Regions from separate parts of the Mus musculus genome. Here all the other regions are reported to be linked to region 3. The links are microRNA targets in miRTarBase. Many come from high-throughput screens and were not tested one by one. Region 3 holds a microRNA gene; each other region holds the end of a gene's coding sequence.
Evidence for each region. Region 3 holds the annotated microRNA mmu-miR-27a-3p (UUCACAGUGGCUAAGUUCCGC, at 2,484-2,504, shown strand). A microRNA usually pairs through its seed, bases 2 to 8, with sites in the 3' UTR of a target mRNA and lowers its output. Matches are read on the target gene's strand: a 7mer-m8 pairs with bases 2 to 8, a 7mer-A1 pairs with bases 2 to 7 and ends in A, and an 8mer does both.

Region 1: miRTarBase lists Wars2 as a target of mmu-miR-27a-3p. Seed matches in the 3' UTR shown: 7mer-A1 at 2,482-2,488 and 7mer-m8 at 2,261-2,267.
Region 2: miRTarBase lists Serpini1 as a target of mmu-miR-27a-3p. Seed matches in the 3' UTR shown: 8mer at 3,239-3,246, 8mer at 3,030-3,037 and 7mer-A1 at 2,846-2,852.
Region 4: the mRNA of Rprd1a is a reported target of mmu-miR-27a-3p. Seed matches in the 3' UTR shown: 8mer at 1,772-1,779, 7mer-A1 at 2,931-2,937 and 7mer-A1 at 3,162-3,168.

Annotation. Positions count from the first base shown.
Region 1 is chr3:99,216,635-99,220,634 of GRCm38, reverse strand. It overlaps Wars2 (tryptophanyl tRNA synthetase 2 (mitochondrial)), which reads right to left. Exons shown (of 6, transcript NM_027462.4): 6 at 432-4,000. The coding sequence ends at 3,728. Among named protein-coding and RNA genes, the nearest start is that of Gm38468, 18 kb to the left of the region's middle.
Region 2 is chr3:75,640,237-75,644,236 of GRCm38, reverse strand. Serpini1 (serine (or cysteine) peptidase inhibitor, clade I, member 1) reads right to left here. Exons shown (of 9, transcript NM_009250.3): 8 at 3,899-3,988; 9 at 1,714-3,562. The coding sequence ends at 3,486. Among named protein-coding and RNA genes, the nearest start is that of Platr10, 13 kb to the left of the region's middle.
Region 3 is chr8:84,206,244-84,210,395 of GRCm38, forward strand. Mir27a (microRNA 27a) reads left to right here and starts at 2,429; the gene lies at 2,429-2,515. Mir23a (microRNA 23a) reads left to right here and starts at 2,275; the gene lies at 2,275-2,349. Mir24-2 (microRNA 24-2) reads left to right here and starts at 2,572; the gene lies at 2,572-2,678. It overlaps Mir3074-2 (microRNA 3074-2), which reads right to left and starts at 2,664; the gene lies at 2,582-2,664.
Region 4 is chr18:24,484,851-24,488,850 of GRCm38, reverse strand. Rprd1a (regulation of nuclear pre-mRNA domain containing 1A) reads left to right here. Exons shown (of 7, transcript NM_144861.2): 7 at 520-3,889. The coding sequence ends at 669. Among named protein-coding and RNA genes, the nearest start is that of 2700062C07Rik, 16 kb to the right of the region's middle.

The DNA.
Region 1 (4,000 bases), not on the chromosome of region 3:
ATTTTTACATTTCCATTCTCTATAGAGCTAATAGGAAATAACAATAAAATTTTCCTTTTGAAGTCAACCATAGTTGTCAGTTGTTTGTATTTCTAACTCTACACACACACACACACACACACACACACACACACACACATTTATTTATTCTTGGGCCAGCATGGTGGTACACTCCATTAATCTCAGCATCCAGAAGGCAGAGGAGCTCTATCAGTTCAAAGCTAACCTGGTCTACACAGTAGACCAGTACAGCCTGGGTTATGTAGAGCCCCTGTCTCAAGAAAAAAACAACCTGCTGGGCCTGTAAACAACAATGGGAAGGGGTGAAGAGGCACACTAGGCTGTATGCAGCCTTTGCTCTCAGCTTCTGAGGCGACAGGGTGTAACAGATAGCTAGTGAAACCTTTTCTTTTTTAATTTTACTTTTTTTCAGGGGGGTTGTCTGAGGGTATTTCTAGAAAAGATTGGACACTGAGTCAGTAAATGAAGACTTATCCTTGTCAATGTTAGCAGGTCCTAACCAATCCATCAAGGGGCCGCCTCAAAAATGTGGGAAAGGCCAGTTTGTTCTTTCCTTGAGCTGACCCATCTTGGAATGTCATAGTTTATGGTTCCCAGACTCCGGGACTTGCACAGGAGTCCCTGTCCAGTCTCTTGGCTCTGAATTCCTTGAACTGACTATGCACCACTGACAAGTTAGCCTTTAAGTCTGGTCTGGATTACGCTGCTGTCCTGAGTCTCCAGGTTAAAGACAGCATGCTATGTTTTCTCCCAGTCCTTGTAATAGTGTGACCCAATCCATATGGCAAATTGTTATTATTTTAAGTGTGTAATTTTTAGTTATGTGAATACAGGTGCATGCTAAAGCCAGAGATATCTGACCCCTTAGTGCTGGCATTTGCAGGCAGTTGTGGGCTGCCCAACATGAGTGCTGGGAAAAAAACTTCATGCCATTGGTCACTGAGCCATGCTCCAGCCCCTGGTAAACTAACTTCCTCTCCTCTCTGTCTCTCTGTCTCTCAGAACTTACCATTTATTTATTTATTTTATGTATGTGAGTATACTGTTGCTCTCTTCAGACACACCAGAAGAGGGCATCAGATTCCATTACAGATGGTTGTGAGCCACCATGTGGTTGCTAGGAATTGAACTCATGACCACTGGAAGAGCAGCTAATGCTCTTAACCCCTGAGCCATCTCTTCAGCCCACTCTCTTTTGTTTCTATGTGTCCTATTGGGCTTGTTTCCCTGGGGAACTTTAATACATTGATTGAGCAAGAATCTTAATTATATGGCAAATTTAGATTTTCTGCAGTAAGAGTCTTACATAACAGAATGCACTGACCCTGTTCCTTAGACGTTATCCTGTTCTAGTGTTTTTGTGTTTTTTGTTCCCTCCCCCTCTCTTTTACACTTTTTCTTTTTTTTTGGAGATCTTTTCCTATTGCCTTTAGTTCTTGCTAGACAGAAGCATTGCTAGGAGGTAGAGACCACAGAGCTAAACAGGCAATTGGCCTGGTAGATACAATTCCCAGTATTCCTAATAGATTTCTTTAAAAGGAAGGTGAAAAGGTACTGGTGGGCTGCCTCAGTAGGCAGGGGTGCCTGCTGCTAAGCCGGACAGCCTGAGTTTGAACCCTGGAATCTACCTGGTGGAAGAAAGCCAGCTTTTGCACTGTCCTCTGACATCACACATGTTTTGTGGCATGCATGCATGCGCACGTGCGCGCGCGCACACATACACACACAAATGCAAACAGATAAAACGAAAGGAAAGTAAAAAAGATCTTTAAAAGAAATACACTCAGTGATGCTCTCAGACTGCAGACATCTCCCACTAAGGTGCAAAAGATAAAACTAACTGGCCCAACGGGAAAGTGTGCCTGATGACCTGAGCTCGAGTCCCAGAACCTACGTGGTGGAAGGAGAGAACCGGACCCCACTAATCATCCTCCAACCGTGACAGACACACCTTAGCATGATCTCACCCATTCAAACACATACACTAATAAATAAATGAATTAAGAAAACAACATGCACCCCCCCCAAAAGTAAAATGTACCCTTTTCCCGAACCTAGTTGGTGTTTTAATCTGGACTCTGGGATACAGTGTCTCCTACTTCCAATTCTATGTGACAATCGAGGTGAACTCAACCTTAACATTAAAAGTAAACATTTATTTATTTTTGTGTGTGGGTAGTCCTGTGCATTTCATTGTGGTGTGTGTGTGTGTGTGTGTGTGTGTGTGTGTGTGTGTAAGTCACAGTACAACGTTGAGGAGTTGGTTCTCTCCTTTATTTATCACATGGATCTCAGGGATTGAACTCACATAGTCAGGCTTGCTTCACAAAAGGAGCCCTTTTCTGCTGAGCCATCTTGCTGGCCCTGCAAAATCAATCTTGATACAGGCCTTGGGATGTAAGCCAGGACTGCCATTCGTTTCAGCTGTGAACATGGACGTGCAGAGCTATACTCTGTGATTTCACAGAGCCTGAGGCAGGCTGAGACGGGAAGCTTCCCTTCACTGGAAACGTCAGATGCTTTAGACTTCGCTCCCACTGGAATCTGGCCGAGACAAGCAGGCATCTCCAGCATGAATTTGGAAGTGAGGCCATGGGACCCATTTTTGGGGTTTTGAAAGGTAAGTGTGACCAGAGGTGGCTGGATCCAGATTTAAAATACACAACCATTAGCTGAGTTCACATAAACAAAAATCAGTATTTCAGCCTTTATCTTTTCAGTATCCAAACTGAATACTGGAATGTTTAGAGGTCCAAAACTTTGGCCCTCAGAGCTTTGGGAGAAGTCTTAAAAAGCACCAGTCTTGGAAGCAGGGGAGCTAGGCCTTCACTCTTGGACTTGCTTCTTATTTACTTAGTGACACTGTACAGCTAATTCCATGTTCTACCCCTCAGTTCCTATGTGTTCCACAGAGGTAGGGTTTGGTGAGACTAAACTGAGATGAATGTAAAAATAGAAGTGCTTATTATGAATACAACCAGGAACACAGGCCCTGTATAATAAATAGATGGAACTGAAGCAATATAATGCTCTCCAATGACCTCCTGGATCACTTAAGTACAGACATTTGCTGAAATAAGTAAGTCAGTGTGTGCCTTTTAAGAAACAAGTAGGTTATTGTATTTTTACTTAGGCGCGCATGTGTGTGTGTGTGTGTACTCATACCATGGCAGACAAGCGGAGGTCAGAGGACAACCTGCCAGTCAGTTTCTCCTTCCACCATGCTGGCCCTGTGGATTGAGCTCCAGCTATTCAGCTTGGCAGCAGGTACCTTGAGCCCGAGCCACCTTGCTAGCACAAGTCAAGTCATTCCAATACATGAGGATAAACATCATCACATCATCATCACATGAGCTGCAAGAATGAACCTCTCTTTATGAACTGCAAATACCCACTGGATTCAGGATTGCAGCATAGGACCTGTCTGCACAACACAGACAAAGTGCACCTGCACAGTAAATACTGCACAAGCAAGCACACGCCATGGCTCAGTAATTGTTCACGTTTTCGGGAATACTTCAGACCAAAAAACTGTGTGTCATTGAACTGGAGTGGAAGAGCTGTGCCTGCCTCAGGGATTGGAACGTTGCTCAATTGACAGCAGTCATCAAATGCAGCTGATCATCACACTCAATTGAATTTGGACAGGCTAAAATCTGTGGGAGGAAAGCTGCCTTGACTTGAGTGCAGTGACTGGCTGACCTTGCTACAGAATCCCCACCAACTTCTTCACCTCCTCGAACACAGGAGAGGCCAATTCTTTGGCTTTTGCAGATCCAACAAGTAAAACCTTTCTTAAGTGGTCCTTATCCATTTTCAATTTCTCAATCTCCTTCCTGATTGGAGCAAATTTCTCAATCACAGCATCGGCCACTAGCAGCTTGTAGCGTGCAGTGTCCAAGCCTGCGCTACTGCGCACCACCTCCTCCACCGAGAGGCCCGACACGGCCGCGTGGATCGCCACCATGTTGGAAACACC
Region 2 (4,000 bases), not on the chromosome of region 3:
TGGTCTTGTTGGGATCAGAATCTCTCTCTTTCTCTCTCTCTCTCTCTCTCTCTCTCTCTCTCTCTCTCTCTCTCTATATATATATATATATATATATATATATATATATATATATATGTATATATATACATATATATATATCTTTATTTTCATTTCAAATGTTATCCCCTTTCCTAGTTTCCCCTCTGTCATACACTCTTAATGATTCAATCAGTTTTCATAGATGAAGAACTGAGTTGGACTATTTGGACCCATGGTCACTCAATCCTGGAAATTCTTTTTAATTGTTGCTTTAGTCAACTGGAGATTTGTTTTAAGTTTATTTCAAGAATTTCTTTGAGATTATAATGTAATTACCACATTTCTTTCCCCTCAAATTCTTAGCCTCTTTTTTCAATTAATTCTTATTGAGCAAATACATACATATGTATATACATATATATTTCCAAGTACAACTTGCTCAGTCAGTATAATATTACTTCTATTTATGTAACTTTTTAACGTGCTCGAGAACATTAAGAGGCCATTTAGCTTTCCTTGAAGCTACTGGCAGCCTTGGGACTTACGTAGAATGTTTCCTCTACCTTAGCAAATTCTGCAGATTAATCATTTAACTAAAGAATCTTGCATTGGGTCTGCTTTAGAAGATGGACCATGACCATGAGGCTCTGAGCTTAAGGCAAAGTTGCAGAGTTTTCACCAATATTTTTCCTTTTCTTTCTTTTCTTTTTTTTTTTTTTTGAATTGTATTTTATCTTTGCTCAAGATTGCAGAAAAGATCTTTACTTCAAAAAGACAAGTTTCAACTGGTTTAACTTGCCTGAAGCTATTAAATAAAATGCTGCCATTATTCTTGTTTTAGAGAAAAACCAAGATAGATTTTCAGATAAGAAAAAAATGACTATCATTATAAATTCAAGAAACTGACTATATATAAAAAAATCACTGAATTGTGTTCTGTATAAGATGCATATCTAATGAATAGGAAGTATGTTCTTTACTGTATTTTCTTCTGATTTTCATTGTTCTTATAAAATGAATGTCTTGAGTATTTAAGTAAACACATAAATAATACTTTTAGTATTTGTTTGGACTTGATGGTGATATTAAAATAGATCAGAGTCTATAATTATCCATTCCAGTCTGTTGCATACACATGAATAACTAAATTCAGTTACTATCAAAAACTTCAGAATGGTTGTTGATTTCCTCTCAAACATAAGTTCGTAGAATAAAAGTCCTTTCTATGCACAATGTGTGTGTGTGTGCTTGTGTGTGTATGCACATGTGTATTTGTACTTATAGTAATGATTCATTGTAAAGAGAATAAAACAATTAGGAAATATGAAATGCTAGTTTTTCAAGAGAAAGAAAAGTATTGAAATTAAAAGCCAAGTCCAAACAAAAGAAAAACTTGAAGGTCAGGGAGATGGCCCCATGGGTCCAAGTCCTTGATGTACGACCCTGATGATTCAAGTGAGATTCTGGGATTCCAAGTTGGAAAGAGGCAATCAATCTCTGGCATTTGTCCTCTGCCTTCACATACATCCTGTGGCATATGGATGTCTGTGTTCTGGTATACACACACACACACACACACACACACACACACACACACACACACACACACAGAGAGAGAGAGAGAGAGAGAGAGAGAGAGAGAGAGAGAGAGAGAGAGAGAGAGAAATACTAAATTAATACAAAGAAAAGCTTGGTATTGTAAATTATTTTTTCTAGCTTTTCTGCCAGTACAAGACATCCATTTTCAACTAAGTAACACCTAACTTATACACATATTGAAATATTTTAAGATTAAAAGTTCCAAGAATTAAATCTTATATCTATTTTTAATAAAAATTAACATTTGGGACATCACATAATCACATGATTGCATAATAATGTTTATTCTTCCTTACAGGCCATACATTTGTTTAACTAATGAACATATAGATATAGCTATAGATGTCATATTAACAAGAAGGATACAGAGATAAAGACTGTTCTTAGCAGAGAATGTGAACACTGAATTAACACCAGGCATCTCAGCTTCATAAATTATAAATGAAAACAAGAGCACTATTGTACAATAACATGAAGATTTATGAATAAACTACAAGTCCTCTGAAAATATAAGCTGTAAAAGATTCATTGTTAAGTACTGTGTCCTCGGATAGTCATAAATTCTTTCATGGGTATTGCCTATAAATGTCTCCATATTTTTAACGACTGCATTTCAAGTGTTGTAATGTACAGAAGAATTTATCTAGAGTGTGTACTAGAAATACTTCGAGATCACACCAGTGCTTGACAAAGGCATCGTATCACTAGTGTAGATTATCTCCTCCCTGCACCCTCATCTCTCCAATCTCAGTCTGTGAAAATGTGAGGCTGACTTCAAGTACGACATTGCAACCCAAGGGACTCTCAGCAAAGGCTATGGTCAGATATCTGCGGCATCATTTGGATGTCAGTAATGATAGAAAGCTGTGGTTCCCACTCTACCTTAGACATCCTGGATAAGAACCTATATTTGTAATAAGTGACCAGGTGTCAGCAGGACGTACTAAGTTTAAGCAGCACTGATTCCATATGATGCACAATACCAGGAACTTTTTTAATAAAGTAATTACATCTATTTTCCTGGCACACCAATGTACCACTTGATGCCTTTCTTGGATATAGTCTAGAGAGTGTGCAACAATGTGATTTCATCTTTGTGTGAACATCACAAAAAATCACTAAAACGTAAATGGTACACGGGATTCCCTCCATGAGGCCTCTTGATGTCATCCAGAATAGCTAATGAGATATCTGAACTTGCTAGTAGAGTCATGTGGCATATTGGTTCACAGGAAACTTTTAAAAATAAATAAAAGAGTTATACTTTAATAAATTAAAAGTATAATACTACAGTATATACAAAATATACATCTATGGGTCTTACATATCCCACATTTCCTCCTAAATCTTTTGTCATGGAATGCCACACTAAATAACAATCTCAATTTCTCTGGCCTTTTGGCCTCCCCTTCACAGTATTGCTTATTATATATATATATGTATGTTGCTTACTTTGGTGTTTGATTCTGCATGATTATGAAGAAACTCAGAAACAACAGTTTCTACATTTTGCCTTGTAGGATCATTTTACTACAATTCCTAAAGAAACAGCATAGGTTTCAAATCTCAGACATAGTATTGTATAGACTACAACTACTTTCAAAATGAAAAAAAGTGGTTCACAGTTTCAATATGTACTTTTATTTTAAACAGCAGCACACCAGACACAATGACACAATGGGACCATACTCTTTATACTGATAACAGCTTTTGACAGGCTAACTTATAGGTCACATGGATTACTACTATCCAGAACTATTTAAATATTTCCCTAAGTAACACTATAAAACAGAAATCCTAAATATATACCACTTGCAAACATAATGTGCTTTGTTCCTGCTTTCTTTGTACTCAAACGTCGTCATTTAAAGTTCCTCAAAGTCATGGCCACTTGTATTCATTGTTTCAGGGTTCATGACTCGTCCCATGAATAAGATTATGCCTGGATTGGTTTGGAAATGAACAGAAGAGGAAAGAAAACCATGAGACCTATATTTCCTGGAAGCAATGTTTGGAAAAGTAGAAATACACATTATTTTGATTTTTTAAAAACATAAGAACATTGGAAATAATCTTAAATATATATATGTCTCTATATATGTCTATATAGGATTCTCTCTCTATATATATATATATACATATATACATACATATATAGAGACACATATATAGACATACATACATCCTAGATATATATATTTATATAATATAATATATAATTTAAAAATAGCTTCTTTGTGGCTTGTGAAATAATGTTGTATTCACATAAAACACTTACCAGATTTCCTGTTCCTGATAAGATAGAGAAATGGATGGTCGACAATAACCTGAGGGTACAGCACAGCCATCCTACTAATCGCAATCATTCCTATGGTGCAGA
Region 3 (4,152 bases):
CAACAAATGCTCTTAACCACTGAGCCATCTCTCTAGCTCCAACCTTGTTTTCTCAGAGAAGGTGTCTTACTGGGACATGGAGCTGGTGAGGCGGGCTGGTGGTGAGCCCTAGAGCATCTTGTGGCTTCCCTTCCCCAGCTCTGGAATTACAAGTGTGAATTGCCATACCTGGGGACAACACAAGCCCTTTTGCTTACATGGTGACCACTTTATTGATTGACCTATCACTGAAGACCCTGATGTTTTTTTTTTTTTTTTTAAGATTTATTTATTTATTATATGTAAGTACACTGTAGCTGTCTTCAGACACTCCAGAAGAGGGAGTCAGATCTCGTTACAGATGGTTTTGAGCCACCATGTGGTTGCTGGGATTTGAACTCCGGACCTTCGGAAGAGCAGTCGGGTGCTCTTACCAACTGAGCCATCTCACCAGCCCGACCCTGATGTTTTATAAAGAAGACGTGTGTGTGTGTGTGTGTGTGTGTGTGTGTGTGTGTGTGTGTGTGTTGTCTGGTCTTTGTGCATGACAGTGCAGTACACTCAGAGACCAGAAGAGGGAGTGAAATCCCCAGAAGCTGGAGTTACAGGTAGTTGTGACAGGTGCTGAGATCCAAACTCGGGCCCTCTGCAAGAGCAGTAGCCACTCTTAACCACTGAGTCAGCTCTTTATCTGAAACAAGGTCACTTGTGTCACTATGTAGCCCTGGATGGTCTGAAACTCCCTACACAGACCAAGCTGGCCTTGAACTCTTAGAGATAGTACTGTCCAAGGCCTGGTTCTTGCTTTCCTTTGCCTTTCAAGTGCTGGGACTAACAGTGTGCACCACCATTCTTAAGTTTATTTTTATTGTCTGTTTGTGAATGTTTGCTTACGCGTACGTCTGTGCACCATATGTATGCCTGGTACCCACAGGGGCCAGTGGGGAGCGTTGGAGCTCTTGGGAATGGAGCTATAGATAGCTGTGCTTGTCATGTAGGTTCTGGGAAAGAAACCTGTCATCTCTCCAACATTGAAATTCTTTAAACAATTTTTAAAAATTGTGTGTGTGTGTTCCCAAGTGCAGAGATCAGAGGACAACTTGCAAGGGTCCGTATGCTTTTCTTCTTCGTGGTTCTTGGGTTTGAGCTCAGGGCATTGGGCTCCATAGCAGCTCTGCTCACTTGCTGGATCAGCTTGCTGGCCCCTGAAAACTTTAACTGGCACGCAGGACACTACTCTACATTGGGTAGGCCCCAAATTTTGTGGCTTGCCCTGGTACTGGGTGCTAAATACCTTCTCTGTAAGTTTTCACTGGCCTTCCTAGTAGAAGGTTTGGGGTTTTGTTGTTTTATTTTTGTTTTTCTTCTATTTAAGACTAGGGTCTCAAACTGTAGCCCAGTTAGGCCTAAAACTCATCATGTAGCTTAAGCAGGCTTTTGACTCCATTCTTGGCAACCTTCCTGCCTCAGTTTCCTCAATGCTGAGATAAACGTGAGCCACCAACTGCAACTGTTGTAGTCTGCTTTACAGATGGGGAAACTGAGGCTTGGAAGGCCTAGGGGAAACTTTACTGAGGTGTTATTGTTGGGGTGCATCGGCCTGCTTCTCCTTGCTTGGGCCCTAGGTGGTGTGGGGTGGGGGTGGGGTTATGTCTGAGCTGGCTGGGGAGGAGAGGGCTGAGGTGGGAGGCCCTGGAGTTTCCTCCTGCCCTTCAGGCTTCTAGGAAGTGGCGCCAGCTGGGGTGAGGTCACTTCCTCCCTCCAACCGTCCACCTCCCTCAGCTTCCTCTCCATGGCCCCATTTGGCCTGCTTTGGGCTCAGGGCTGTGGGTGGGGATAGAAGCAGAGTGGGAAGCAGCTGGGAAGGCTCTGCAGCCCCTTTGGCCTTAGGGCTTCAGGCACCTCCCGCTTTGTAGGGCTGGGGTAGAGGCACTGCTGGGTGCCCAGCATCCAGCAGCCTCGCTCCAACCTTCCTACGGATCGATGCTCCTCTTTTTTGGGAATGCTTCTTCCCTCTTGGAAGTAGAGGAGGGCTAGGGTGTGGATCAGCAAGCTGAGTTTAGATTCTGTCCCCAGCACCACTTAAACTGTGTGTGGTGAGGTGTACCTATAATCCTAGACTCCAGAGGTAGAGGCAGGAAGAACTGGTGCATTCGGAAACCTTGTGTTCAGCTATGTGAGACCCAGCCTGGTCAAGATAGGCAGGCAAGCAAGAATGCTCCAATCTCACTGTCTCTTCTTTCTCTCTTTAGGTGCTACACTCCGCTCCCACCTGCTGCCCCCCTCACTGTGCCTCGGACGGCTGGGGTTCCTGGGGATGGGATTTGATGCCAGTCACAAATCACATTGCCAGGGATTTCCAACTGACCCTGTGCTCTGCCTTGGGGGCTCCTGTCGCCAAGGATGTCTGTCTTGGGTACTGGGTAACAGAGAAGCCTATCATGACAACTGGCCTGAGGAGCAGGGCTTAGCTGCTTGTGAGCAAGGTCCACAGCAAAGTCGTGTTCACAGTGGCTAAGTTCCGCCCCCTGGACCCCATCTCCTCAGGCCGCTGCTGCCCACCCTGCTCTGCCTCCTGGCTGGCAGGGCTCTGCCTCTCTCCGGGCTCCGCCTCCCGTGCCTACTGAGCTGAAACAGTTGATTCCAGTGCACTGGCTCAGTTCAGCAGGAACAGGAGTCCAGCCCCCTAGGAGCTGGCAACCCTGCAGAATGTCTGCCGTGAGCAAGACCTGGAAACAATGGGGTAATTAGTCCAACCTAAGCCCCGTTGTCTGCTGGAGGCTCAGCCTCTAAGCCTGCATCTGGGTGTCCACCTTGAGATTTCTGTGGTTCCCCAAAGCAGATAGATGGGCGGGTAACCCTTGCATTAAAAGCCAGTTATGTCCCCTCAGGGCCTGGAAGCCCTTCTTTTCCTAAGTCTGGTGGGGCTCAGGCACCACCCCTTATACATACCATCTTTGAAGTCAGTTACCCAAGAGGAAGCTGCTTTAGGCCCTCTAACGGTTAAATGCCAACTCTCTGCTTCCGGAAGAAGGCACTGACCTGATCCAGTGTGCCTAGCAATCCCATGGGGTCTGCAGCTTTCTGCTGGTGACAGCGAGGCAGGGAGCGAGGTCCACACAGGCCTCAGGATATGAACAGATCCATGCCCCCCCCCCCCATTGGCCTGTTGAAGTAATCTCCAGGCTTGGAAGTTAAAAAGTTGCCTACTACCCACAAATGAGACTGCATGCAGACTAATTGGAACTGGCTGAGTTACACTTCCCAGACCATACAGTGTCCTCTCCCTACTCTGGGCAGGGGCAAATCGAAGCCTGGGTGGAAGAACAGAGTTGAAAGCTTGTATTGAATGTTGTTCTCCAACTAAATAAAAGCTCCACAGCCTCATTCCGTAAGGGCTGACGTCTCTTCATTCCCGCCTCCCACATGTGTGTTGCTGGCTTTTTTCATTTCTCTTGAAACAGCATTTCTGTGTAGACCAGGCTGACCTTGAATCAAACTCCTCCAGTGTCTGGAGTTTGGGAATACCAGCTGCACCACTATATCTACCACACCCTGGGCTCCTAACCTGCATTGCACCTATCCCCAACCTTGCTCCACCTGCTTCTAGGAAGGTGTAAATATAGTTCTGTGGTCAGTAGGTGCTGCGACCTGAAGATCCTGGGATCCTTTGGGGATGGCTTGAACGGGAGGGATAACCCAGACCTGGGGTGTATGAGACCAATCTGTGGTCACCCCAGTTCCATGAGGGAGTATGTTACAAGAATGTACTCTGCCTATGCTGGGATGCACTGACTGGCAAGATGCCAGGGCTTAAGGACGGGCACATATGCGCGCACAGACAGACACGCGCGCATGCACACACACACACACACACACACACACAGGGCTTAAGGACGGGCACATATGCGAGCACAGACAGACACGCGCGCATGCACACACACACGCACGCGCGCGCGCCCGTCTACACACACACACACACACACACACACACACACACACACGCACGCACGCACGCACGCGCGCGCGCCCGTCTGCGCCAGAAGGGCTAAGGGGCGGATCGCCTCTGATCGGCTCCCTGGAGCAAAGGAACGCACCATGAACTATGGCCACACTCATAGTCACAGCCAGCTCCCATAGTGCCCCACAGAGGCAACACACACACACACACAG
Region 4 (4,000 bases), not on the chromosome of region 3:
ACACCAGGGCCAAAAAGGGGGAGTAGGTGGGCAGGGGAGTGGGGGTGGGTGGATATGGGGGACTTTTGGTATAGCATTGGAAATGTAAATGAGCTAAATACCTAATAAAAAATGGAAAAAAAAAAAAAAAAAAAGAAAATACACACTAGCCGGGTGGTGGTGGTACACACCTTTAATCCCAGCTCTTGGGAGGCAGAGGCAGGCGATTTTCTGAGTTCGAGGCCAGCCTGGTCTACAGAGTGAGTTCCAGGACAGCCAGGGCTACACAGAGAAACCCTGTCTCAAAAAAAACAAAACACAACAACAAAAATAGAAAAGACACACATCGTGATATTTAATTGCATGGCTATTATGTACTTTTACTGCTCTCTACTACCTCTGTAGCCCATTTGACTCAAACTCACAATGGAATGATCATTTATTTGCCAGTGGCTGAATAATACAAAATTCTGCAGAGAATCAGCAGAAAGCTAGACTGCTTTTTCAACATGAAAGCTAACGAGTGGTTTGTTGTTGCAGGAATACAAGCGCAAGTTAGCCCGAGTTTCCCTGGTACGCAAAGAACTAAGAGCCCGGATCCAGAGCCTGCCAGATTTATCTCGTTTGCCCAATGTCACTGGCAGTCACATGCACCTGCCCTTTGCGGGGGACATCTACAGTGAAGACTGATGGCCAGTCTCCTCCAGGGCCAGGACTTTGGCAGACATGGAGACAGGTTAGGTGAATAGTCCTGTAGAGTTATTTTTGTACATTGTTGAGAATGGTACTAACATAAGAAATGACAAGGAAGTATAAAATGTTAAAATGTTGGTTTGTTTTGCTATTTTATTAGTGAGTTAACATGACTTAGTTAAAACCAAGTGATGATTTCTGTGTATTAATGAACTTAATGATTATTTTCAAAAAAATCTTTTGTAAGTTTTTTTTTTGATCCAAGGCCTTGTGAGAAATTCCATGTTTCTATTTCTTCATGTATTTTCAATTACTTTTCTTTATTTTTTTTCAGTATCTAATCACTGTACACTATCTAATTCCTAATGGGAAGAACTGATCAGGAGCTGATGTGAGACTGTTTATGGGATCGTTAGAGCTTGATTATAGAAGAGACTAAATGTTTCAACTTCACCTTACTCTTGCCACCCAAATACTGGTTCTGTGTGTCCTCATGCCTTTCGAGTTTAACACTAGACATGGATGCCGTGCAGGGTCAAATAAAGCCTAGAGAAGGTTCCCCGGTAGTACTATAGTAGTTCCATCTCAAATGCCATCCCAGGATCGAAGGTCTGTTAACTAGACACTCCCTGGATCGCACTATTTAGACTAAGTGCAGTTAATGCTTTACGAATGTTGTAAGTTCTGCTGTCCTAATGAGCACAACTCCAGCTCTCCAGCTGACTGCTTCTGTCGTCAGTCTTCTTACATCAGATCCCTTTAACAAAACACCAGCTGTGGGGTGTAAAGGGAACACCAGGCAGCGACACAGTCCCAGTGCTTAATCCCTGCCCATGTCATGTAAACGTAGCTCTTAGCCTGAGCAGCTCAACAACTCAGTACCCATAGTGCTCAATTACGCAGCCCGAAACAGTTTATTTCTGTAATGTTTTTGAATGATTATATTTTGGAATTAAGCAATGCTGTACTACAGGGTAGATGTGGTGAGTTTTATATTTGTCTGTTTACAGGTGTAAATACACAGCAAATGTACCTTTATCTGTACTTGAACCTGGTGTGTTAGAGCAGGTGCATGCTCTCCAGCTTTCTCTTAAGTTCCACTGTGAAGCTGCAGGTTTGTGTTTCATGATGGCAGAGGGAGATGTTTTTCTCCTTTATTGCTTTGCATTTCTCATGTAATCGGAGTCCAAGTGAATAGTTTGTAGGACACCTTTTAGATTTCACAGGCCAGTTATACTCACTACTCTGAATGGCTTCACTGTTTCTTTCTCAGTATTAGAGGATATAGTTGAAATGAATTTCCATGTGAAGAAATGACAGGTAATTTTCTTTAATAGCCAGTAGATTTGGGAACAGTGCTTTAAACACTGGCCTTTCTCCAAAACAGAGTTACATGTATGGCATCACCCCGTCCCATGAATGTTCTATCTTCCAATGACAACTTTTGGGAATTAGGACACATTTCCTCACAGAAGCTATAGCTGTTCTCTGTGCACACCGCTGAAGCTCAACTGGAAGCCCAAACCACTGGACCTCGGATATGCTTGTAATGAGCTGACAAGTGGCTCTCGCACATCCTGAGCAGCGTTTGTCTGTCAAATAAGGGTTTGTGTGCAGCAGCCAGACCTTCACACTGGGGTGGCTGCCAGTGCTGCTATCCTTTCCTTAGGGGTAGTGATCTAAGAAAGAGTCAGCAAAGGAGATGCACATTACATACCCTGATTATGCCTGTTTTGAAAGTATGCCAAGTAAGTTTTTGTTGTTTTGGAAAGCAAAAGCTTTGTGTGTTAACTTATTTTCAGTATCTTAAACTTATTTATGATTTGCTGACACAGTGATTTATCCATCTAAACTAGATACTTTTCCATTTAAAACTAACTTATAAATGGTATACTCTTGGGAAGATATAAACTCTTTTAGAAGTTTCCTGAAATATTTTCACCATGAAGACAGACTTAGATACTCTTTTGATGCCACTATCTGATCTAAATATTTATGATAAAATGTATTATTTTTTTAAAGAGCGTGATGAGATCTGTGATAAATGCTAGTACTCAAAACCCGAATCCCCAAACCACAAGTTGTTGGTTAGCTCACTAATTGAACAGACTGTACAGTTTGTTCTAGAAGTAAGTTTTTCAGCCTTACAGTCGTTAATGTTCCTTTCTGAAAGGAAGACTAAACTTAATGGGCTTAAACCAGGTGTGGTGGTTCATGCCTTTAATTTCAGTACTTGGGAGGCAGAGGCAGGAGGATCTCTGTGAAGGCCAGCCTGGTCTGTAGAGTGAGATCAATGCCATTAGTTACATGAGTGAGACTCTGCAGTAAGAAAAAGAAAAAAAGAAATGGGCCTAGGTGAGGGGTATAAAATACCAAGCTGTAAATCATGCACATTTTCTCTCCCATGTACCGGAGGCAAATTACAAGTATGAGAGCAACCTGGTCTGGCCCTCAAGGGAAAGTATGTCACATTGTAGCAAGGTCCTGTGCTGTGAATGGACACCATTCCTCTTTTTTCCACAAACAGTGCAGAGAGCTGTCGGAGTGGCAATTTGAGCAGATTCCCGGTGCTCCCTCTGCTCCTACAATACTACAGTAAGTAAATGAGCCGTAGGGGAGCGGGGAGTCTGGAGAGGAGCTGAGCTCTGTAGCCGGCCTTCCCCGAGGAAGGCCGTCCTGCCTGTAGCTGCTGTGATAGCTGCTCACAGCGTTCTGAATCAGGGTTTCTCTGTAAGAAATCCCGTAGCATTAACAAAAACTACGATGATCCACCCTTCATGATTTTCACAGTTCAGAGGATGTTGTCTGCTGTCACTGCTGTGAGTAGCTTTGTGGTGTGTGGTTCATGAACTGGTCTGGAGTCTGGAGAGGACAGTGACTGGGAGGTAGGAGGGCCTTCCTCAGTCCCCACTCTGAAGTCATGCAAAAGCCCGACACTAGCTATTAATTGTACTAGCTATTAGGAGTTCCTCCTAGAGATGAGCCCTGCTTCTCAGTTGTGCTAGAAAAAGCTTTTGACGGTGTGAATTCAGTTCTTCTCTGTACAGAAGGGAACACTGGGTTACTTAATGGATTTGTGTATACACAGCATCTGTTGCCATCTAGTCTGCCGTGTCAAGAGCACATGGAAAAAGGATACTCCATCTTTTATAAACCCTTTTCTTTGGCTGTATCTGATGACAGTGTAAGATCCTAATAAAGTTTTATGTTCTTTTTGAAGAGTTTGTGTGTGTGTGTGTTATTTTCTGAATCCAGTTCATTGATAAAGGACAGGAAGGTGTGGGGCTAACGGGAGGGAGTTGGGAAAGTCCTGGGAGTAGTCAGTGAA